Xenopus tropicalis: one gene and its partner. The protein of the gene in region 2 purifies or fractionates together with the protein of the main gene of each other region. This does not show direct contact. Links are inferred from orthologs where the notes say so. Each region holds a gene or a part of one and is shown on either strand. Other genes may lie near its edges. The genes, in order: pex26 and pex1.

Region 1 (4,294 bases), on a different chromosome or scaffold from region 2:
AAATAAACCCAATAGGGCTGTTCTGCCCCCAATAAGGGGTAATTATATCTTAGTTGGGATCAAGTACAGGTACTGTTTTATTATTACAGAGAAAAGGGAATCATTTAACCATTAAATAAACCCAATAGGGCTGTTCTGCCCCCAATAAGGAGTAATTATATCTTAGTTGGGATCAAGTACAAGTTACTGTTTTATTAATACATTTTTAAAAATTAGAACTATTTGGTAATAATGGAGTCTATGGGAGATGGCCTTAAATTCGGAACTTTCTGGATAACGGGTTTCCGGATAAGGGATCCCATACCTGTATTTGGTCTTCTTTTTTTTATTATTTGTGGTTTTTGTATTATTTAGCTTTTTGTTCAGCAGATCTCCAACAGGTATCTGGTTGCTAGGGTCCAAATGAACCTAGCAACCAGGCAGGGGTTTGAATGGGAGGGATATGAATAGGAAATGGGCTAAACAATAACTAATAAGACAATAAAATTGTAAAACCAGAACAATAGTTTTTGGCTGCTGGGGGTCAGTGACCCCCTTTTGAAAACTGGAAAGAATCAGAAGAAGGCAAATAATTCAAAAACTATAAGGAATACAAAATGAAGACCAATTGCTATGTGGTTGTTAGGACTTGATTACCCTAGCAACAAGGGAGCAGTTTGGAAGATCAATAGCAGAGCCTGAAACAAATTAAATTGAACCTGTACAGTACCGATTCAGTGAACTATATGTGGGCAAAGCTGACCTGCACCTAAGGTGGCAATTGTTTGGGCCAAACCTGCCCCCACACAATAGTACCCCCTCTTTCTCCCTGACAACAGGAGAAGGGTATGGCACAATAGAGATTGGCAGAATGGCAGACCCAGCCATAGCATGGCACCAGCTAAAACACAAGGCTCTGCCTCATACACACTTTAAAAAACAAAGCAGTATATTGTTTTATTTAGATATTAAGTTTTCCTTTCAGTAAGGGCCCCTCCCCTTCCCCACACAACTGCCCCTGCTACACTGCTATCCCTCTGTGTCTTTGCCACAACTCCATACGAAGTACTCGGCCTATCGTTTGCAAGGATACTGTCACATGGTTCTGCGACCCAATCAGATCCTTAGCAGGCATTGAGCTAGAACTTCCGGTCTGTGGAGCTTATGCGTTCCACCTGTCAGTGTGTCACAGTCAGAACTTCCGGTCTGTGGAGCTTATGCGTTCCACCTGTCCGTGTGTAAATGTCAGAAAGGTGCAGTTGTAATAGTGGAATTGTGGGTGAGGGGTGGACCTATGTTGTGTTTATGGCAAGGGGGGAATGCTGTTCTGTTCTGGGACTAATTCAGTGAGATAAGGTTTTGCTGTCTGTCCAGTCTGTGCTCTTTAACCTGTAATAACTGTGTGCAGGAAGTGTATTATTATTTAGGGGGAGGACATATTGCAGGGCAGGGAAGGTTGGTTACAGTAAAGTGTGGGGGCTTAGACGTAAAGACACTAAAAAAAACTCTCTTTCGTACGCAATATTAAATTGTACATGTTCTCTTCCCTTGTTAGCAGGAACCCCATGGCAGTTGCAGAAAATGTGTCCAGCTGTTCGCTAAGCGCTATGTGGGATTGGTCGCATCTGTCATTGTCTGGGACCCCCCCTGCCGTGCCGCTGTTGGACGCAGCTGCCGACCTGCTGGTGCTGGAGAGAAACTTTGCAGCTTCCCTTGGAATCTGTGAGAGAGGCCTACAGATCCTGTCTGCTGAACCAACAGATGCAAAGTGAGTTGCTTTGAGTTCCCTTTCTCTCATCACAAAGTGTATAGAAGTAATGGGGAAGCACTCACCCCAAATCTCCCCCTAACTGGCCTTCAGGTTGGGCCCCCTTAGCCCATAACAAGGTTACAGATATATAGAAACATTGGGGTAACAGTCACCCCGCTATAGTTCCAGGGGTACCCAGGGCACAAATAAGCACTCACCCCAAATCCCCCCCTAACTGGCCTTCAGGCTGGGCCCCCTTAGCCCATAACAAGGTTACAGATATATAGAAACATTGGGGTAACAGTCACCCTGCTATAGTTCCAGGGGTACCCAGGGCACAAATAAGCACTCACCCCAAATCTCCCCCCTAACTGGCCTTCAGGCTGGGCCCCCTTAGACCATAACAAGGTTACAGATATATAGAAACACTGGGGTAACAGTCACCCTGCTATAGTTCCAGGGGTACCCAGGGCACAAATAAGCACTCACCCCAAATCCCCCCCTAACTGGCCTTCAGGCTGGGCCCCCTTAGCCCATAACAAGGTTACAGATATATAGAAACATTGGGGTAACAGTCACCCTGCTATAGTTCCAGGGGTACCCAGGGCACAAATAAGCACTCACCCCAAATCCCCCCCTAACTGGCCTTCAGGCTGGGCCCCCCCTTAGCTTCAAGGAGTTTACCTTTACCTTAACTTTTAGAATGCTGTAAACAGTTTTGTTCTGAGACTATTTGCAGTTTTTGATTTGTTTATTATTTAATGTTCAGTCTGACGTGTCCTTTATCCTTGAGGTGTGAGCAGGTGAAGACGTCTCTCTGTGTCGTTGCGATTCAGTGTCTGGTTGAGTTGGGAAGATGGAGGGAAGTGCTTCCTTGGCTAATTCAGTATTACCAAACCCCACAGGAGATGCCTTACAATATTATGGAGATGTGGTGAGTGAGTATATCATATATCAAGCCTTTCCTTACTATAAGCGCTGCTTTTGTCGTAGACTTTAGATTGCAGTCTGCATCATGGTAGAATTGGGGTCTTGGTTTAGATTGTACTTTTAACACTAAATAAATTGAGCTTGCCATGTAGTTTTGAGGGGCTTCTTCCGCCAGTCCAGAAACATACAGGTAGGGGGCATTAATACATTAATATCCCTTGTGCCTACACTGATATTAAATGTATATACTGCCCCCTGATCCCTAAACGTCTGTATATTTTCATTGTATTCTCTTTTTTTTTTTTTTTAGCATTTTGTTGTATGGGAAGGTAAAGCAGCCACAAGTTATGCTGGAAGTAAGTAGTGATTGGTTGCAAGTCCAAGCCAATCGGCTACTGCCAAACTGCTGCAGGGTTGCAGAGCTCCATCTGCTGCACATACTACTACCCCTGGGGCTGTTTTCTGATGCTGAAGTGCTGGCTCAGGATTCGGATGTATTCACGGAAAAGCAGAGGCACATAGCCTTGGCGCTTGTGAGCGAACACAGGAGACAGTGGGAAGAGTATGAAGCTGCTGCCGCTACAGAGAGGGACGAGCACAGCCAATCAGAGTCAATGGGACGAACTGGTATGAACATTCCTGCCAATCAGATCCACCCATACTGTGAACACTTGCACTGCAGCCCCGGCAGACTGTCTGTAGAAGAGTCTACAATTGCAGCAGTTGGGTCGTAAAAACACAGATAGGTGGCCATACACGTAAAGATCCGCTCACCTGGCAAGGTCGCCAAGCGAGCAGATCTTCTCCCAATATCCCCACCTACAGGTGGGTAATATCGGGTGAATTAAGCTAATTCAGTTGTTTGGCCCTGGGGCCAAACAATCAAATTATAACGACTGGAATAGGCGCAGTTAGTTCGGGGACCGCATCAACGAGCCGATGCGGTCCCCGATCTGACTAAATTTTTTAACCTGCCCGATCGATATCTGCCCGATTTCAGGCCAGATGTTGGTCAGGCAGGCCAGATGTTGGTCAGGCAGGCCAGATGTTGGTCAGGCAGGCCAGATGTTGGTCAGGCAGGCCAGATGTCGTTCAGGCAGGCCAGATGTTGTTTCCCCTACACGGGCCGATAACCTGCCGAATCGGTCCATATCGGCAGCTACAATCGGCCTGTGTATGGGCACCTTAAGAGACTGTGCAATTTTGAATGAGTATTTAAACCCGTTTATTGCTGGGCAGCAGTGAATCGGTGGGTAGGCTAGGGCATTTCCCAGTCCTGTTCACATAGATGGTTGCAAGCTCTGAAAAGCAAATGTTTGACCTGAATAATGGTGCCCATAGGCGAAGCCATAGGGTGGTGGGGAGGGTGGGCTGCTGGTTGCCCATTGTTGCCTTTCTAACCTGCCCAAGTGTACCACCATCCCATCATGTATAATAATAGTAACATAGTAAGTTAGATTGAAAAAAGACACCCACTCCCTTCTTCTAAACGGAGTGGGTGCCCTCGTGTCCGTTGGAAGGCCCTACTGGTAAATAAAGCATTAGAGAGGTTATTATATGATCCCCTTATATATTTATACATAGTTATCATGTCCCCCCTTAAGCGCCTCTTCTCCAGTGTAAACAAACCCAACC
Region 2 (3,731 bases):
TCTCTGTGGTACTTATGGGCCCTTTATAATGAAAAGCCTTTTATACTTATGGCCCCCCTTATAATCAAAAGTCTTTTATACTGATGGGCCCCTCTTAATAATAATAAAAAGCCTGTTATTTAGGTGGGCTTGGTATCATAAATTTGTTTATACAGATTAGACCATGTGTATTGGGAAAAGCTTTTGGCAGAAGAGGCACAGCCCCAAGCTATGAATCCTGCTAGCTCTTGCCCAGCACTAGGTCTGTAATAGAAATAAGGTGAGTTAGTGAGCTGCTATTTGTCAGTCATATGAAACATGCCCAGATGTCTCTGTACTTTAGATGATGTTTAAAAAATAATTCAACTTGCATTTTACATTTTTCCTTTTCCAATACTATTTTAATGCATTGTTTCCTTCTGATGTTTCAGGACAACAATTCTGGATCTGACAGTGATATGAGCTTGTCTTCCATAATATTCCTGAACCACAGCAGTGCTTCTGATGACTCGGGAGGAGACCAAGATAGTGTTCTAGATCACTCTTTACCCTCCTTGGATATGATAAAGCTTCCCATCGAAGACATTCATTCCAGCATGTGGCGTCTTTACTTTGGAAATTCATATGATTCAGACCTTGGAAACGGCAGTTCAGAACAGGTGATTTCCTAAGATTATTACAGACTGGCTATGCAAGCTGTTTCCCTATGGCTCAGTGGATGTCCTGCATTATTTTCTATGTAGATTAGGTCAGTTTCCACTTTATTAATCCATGTCACCAGAATCAAGTTATTATCAGCTAGTTTACAGTAAAAAAAAGTGTGAAGATAATTAGGCAGAGTCCATGTTGCATGCAAATACACATTTTATCCCTCAGATCATTTGTATTGAATCCTAATAGTATTTCCTGGGATACTGTTGTCCCAGCCCCATTGTGTACCACAAAACGTTAAATTCAGGGTGACAGCTGTATTTAGACCTTGCTTTCTGTATGGGTGACCCAAGCTTTCCCATGGGAAGCTGTGACTGTTACTATCTGTTGTGCTGTTCATCTTCCTCTAGAATGAATTAATAATTGTCTTTTTCCAGTTCAGCATGCAGCATGCAAAGTATCAATTTAAAAGTCTTTATAACATGACGCCTTTATTTGGGTTATACTACAAGTATGCAATGACAAGCAATATTTTTGTAAGATTTTCTACTTAGGTTTGATTAAAATATCATTTTAAGGCCACTATAGCTCATACTTAACTCTGGTTTGTTGTGGTATTAAGTTAACTGTGCTGCTTTTCTTGCTTTTCGTGCCCATTTTGTATTGCACTGAAGCATTAAAGGAGAAGAAAAGGTATAATCACTGGGGGATGCCTAATGTTAGGCACACCCCAGCGATTATATTTCTTTACATAAAACCCCTGGCCCGTTCTCCTGTTAGCTGAAAACTGCACCAGCCAGGGGTACTTTCATAGGAGCACCACATCACAACCTTCTCCCAACTCTTCATTCTTCTTTGTGGCCCTGGGCCACATGCTCAGTAAAAAAAGCTGAGTTTTTCCTTTTAAATTCTGCTTTTAATCCCACTGTACATGTGCACCTGGAACTTGTAAGAGATTTAAGAATATGAGTGCAGTTTTCAGTTAATAAAAGCACTGACTTTGGGGTCACCGGTAGGAATTATGATCAGATTTACTCTATATGCATTTTTGAGCAGTTTGAAATTGGGGTGATCAGTTTTAAAACATTTACACAAGCTTCCTTTATATAGTAGTTTATGGCAGATTGTTTGCATTCATATAGTGTAGTGCAGGGGTTCCTAGGTCAGAACACCGTGTTATCTGCAGTACATATCTATTCACAGGGTGGTGGGCTGGGGGCATTATGTGGGAAACTCCTTGGACACTCCCAAGTTTGCACATAATTCAGACAAACAATCTAGGGAGCAGTGATATGAGCTTGTCTTCCATAATATTCCTAAACCACAGAAGTGATTCTGATGACTCGGGAGGAGACCAAGATAGTGTTCTAGATCACTCTTTACCCTCCTTGGATATGATAAAGCATCCCATCGAAGACATTCATTCCAGCATGTGGCGTCTTTACTTTCACAGGGTGGTGGGCTGGGGGCATTATGTAGGAAACTCCTTGGATACTCCCAAGTTTGCGCATTATTCAGACAAGCAATCTAGGGAGCACCAATGGGTGTAAGATGCACTTTCCACCTGCCTATGGCAGGCATTATTTGCAGGGTTGTGTTGCGCTTTTCAAGTGTTGTTCACTAAAGCATGTCTAATGTGTAAAGAATTTTAAAATCGCATTAATAAATTATAAACTATTATATCTAAATGAATTTTGTGTTTTTTTAAATAAACCATCTTTGGGTTAAAATGTGTATTTCTGGCAACCTCTTGCAAACGTTTACATTTCCACTATCAATATGTACAGATGTATAGGAACAGATGTAACAGCTCTCTTCAATTGTCTTTACAGACTTCCCAGAGCTTTTCTGGAAGCAATTCCATTACACATGAGTTTACTGGCCCGACTATAGGAGAATTAGTGCCTTCACAACCTCTAGTGTTTATAAGCAGCTCACCAGAAGATCACCAGCAACACAGTCAGGAACAATGTCAGAAAGTAGATGATGAGATCAGTGTACCCAAGGCCAACTGCATGAATGTGGTATAATGTTACATATTCTTCTGTTACATTCCCTACCCACATCTATCTTAAATGCTATTGGGCTTTGCAGTATAGATGCCCGTAGAAGAGAGTCCTGTAAATATATTTTTTTAGACCTTTCTTTTATCTGTTATCCCACATATGTTTGCTCTGCTCTGTAAAACCCATCACAAATTATATTAAGGGGCTCCTTCACATGGTCTGGTTAGTAATTCATTCATCCTAAATTGTGAAATGCTGTAATTACTAACAAAATATTTACATTAATTTCTCCTGTGAGGGTGCAGTTATATATATGTGTTTAGAACATTCACCCTAATGTGAGACCTGCATTTATTGTGGTTTTAAGGGGTTGTTCACCATTAAATTCAATTTTAGTATGTTGTAGACAGTGATATTATAAGACAGTTTGCAATTGGTTTTCATTTTTTATTTTTGTGTTTAGCTTTTTGGGGGTTTTTTTTTGTTTTTTTTAGCTATTTAGCTTTTTGTTTGGAATTTCAGCATCTCTCTGGTTGCTACAGTCTTGTTTAACTTAGCAACCAGGCAGTGGTTTACATGAGAGACTGGAATATGAATAGGGACTGAATAGAATAAGTAAAAAAAAAAAAAAAGTAACCGTAATTATCCAATTGTAAGATCACAGAGCAAATGTTTTTTTAAAAGCTGAAAAGATGTAGAAGTGTAAGTGAAATAACTGTAAAATAATAAATGAAGACCAGATGCAAAGTTGCTAGGATTAGGACATTCTATAACATAGTAAAAGTTAACATAAAGGTCAACCACCTCTTTAATACATACAGAACTTACACTGTTCTGTTACATTGGGTGCCGGGTGCCTCAGTTAAGGCAGTTAGTTCATACTCATAATATTAACTGATGATATGTAAAGAAGGAGCCTCGCCATAAGCTCTGCAGGCATGTATTATTGTATATGTACAGAAAAATGAGACAAACCCTGCAGTGCAAGAAATTATTTTAATGAGGAACCAAACTTTGTTTACTATCAAAACTTAATTTTCACACGAGTTTTAAAGAGCAGAAACAGCATATTGATAAATATTCATGCATACAAAG

What was found.
Region 1: the proteins of pex1 (region 2) and pex26 purify together in Homo sapiens (affinity purification with western blotting; 3 studies listed by BioGRID and IntAct, with this or other methods). This does not show direct contact. The link is inferred for Xenopus tropicalis from reciprocal best matches to the Homo sapiens genes PEX1 and PEX26.

The regions. Positions count from the first base shown.
Region 1 is NC_030679.2:8,465,601-8,469,894, forward strand, and holds the start of pex26 (peroxisome assembly protein 26), read left to right. Parts: upstream 1-1,252; 5' UTR 1,253-1,284; coding exon 1,285-1,325; exon of another isoform or gene 1,326-1,335; intron 1,336-1,534; coding exon 1,535-1,747; intron 1,748-2,522; coding exon 2,523-2,663; intron 2,664-2,969; coding exon 2,970-3,286; intron 3,287-4,294. UniProt on the Homo sapiens protein: Peroxisomal docking factor that anchors PEX1 and PEX6 to peroxisome membranes. PEX26 is therefore required for the formation of the PEX1-PEX6 AAA ATPase complex, a complex that mediates the extraction of the PEX5 receptor from peroxisomal membrane.
Region 2 is NC_030682.2:31,796,638-31,800,368, forward strand, and holds part of pex1 (peroxisome biogenesis factor 1), read left to right. Parts: intron 1-410; coding exon 411-638; intron 639-2,462; coding exon 2,463-2,654; intron 2,655-3,731. UniProt on the Homo sapiens protein: Component of the PEX1-PEX6 AAA ATPase complex, a protein dislocase complex that mediates the ATP-dependent extraction of the PEX5 receptor from peroxisomal membranes, an essential step for PEX5 recycling.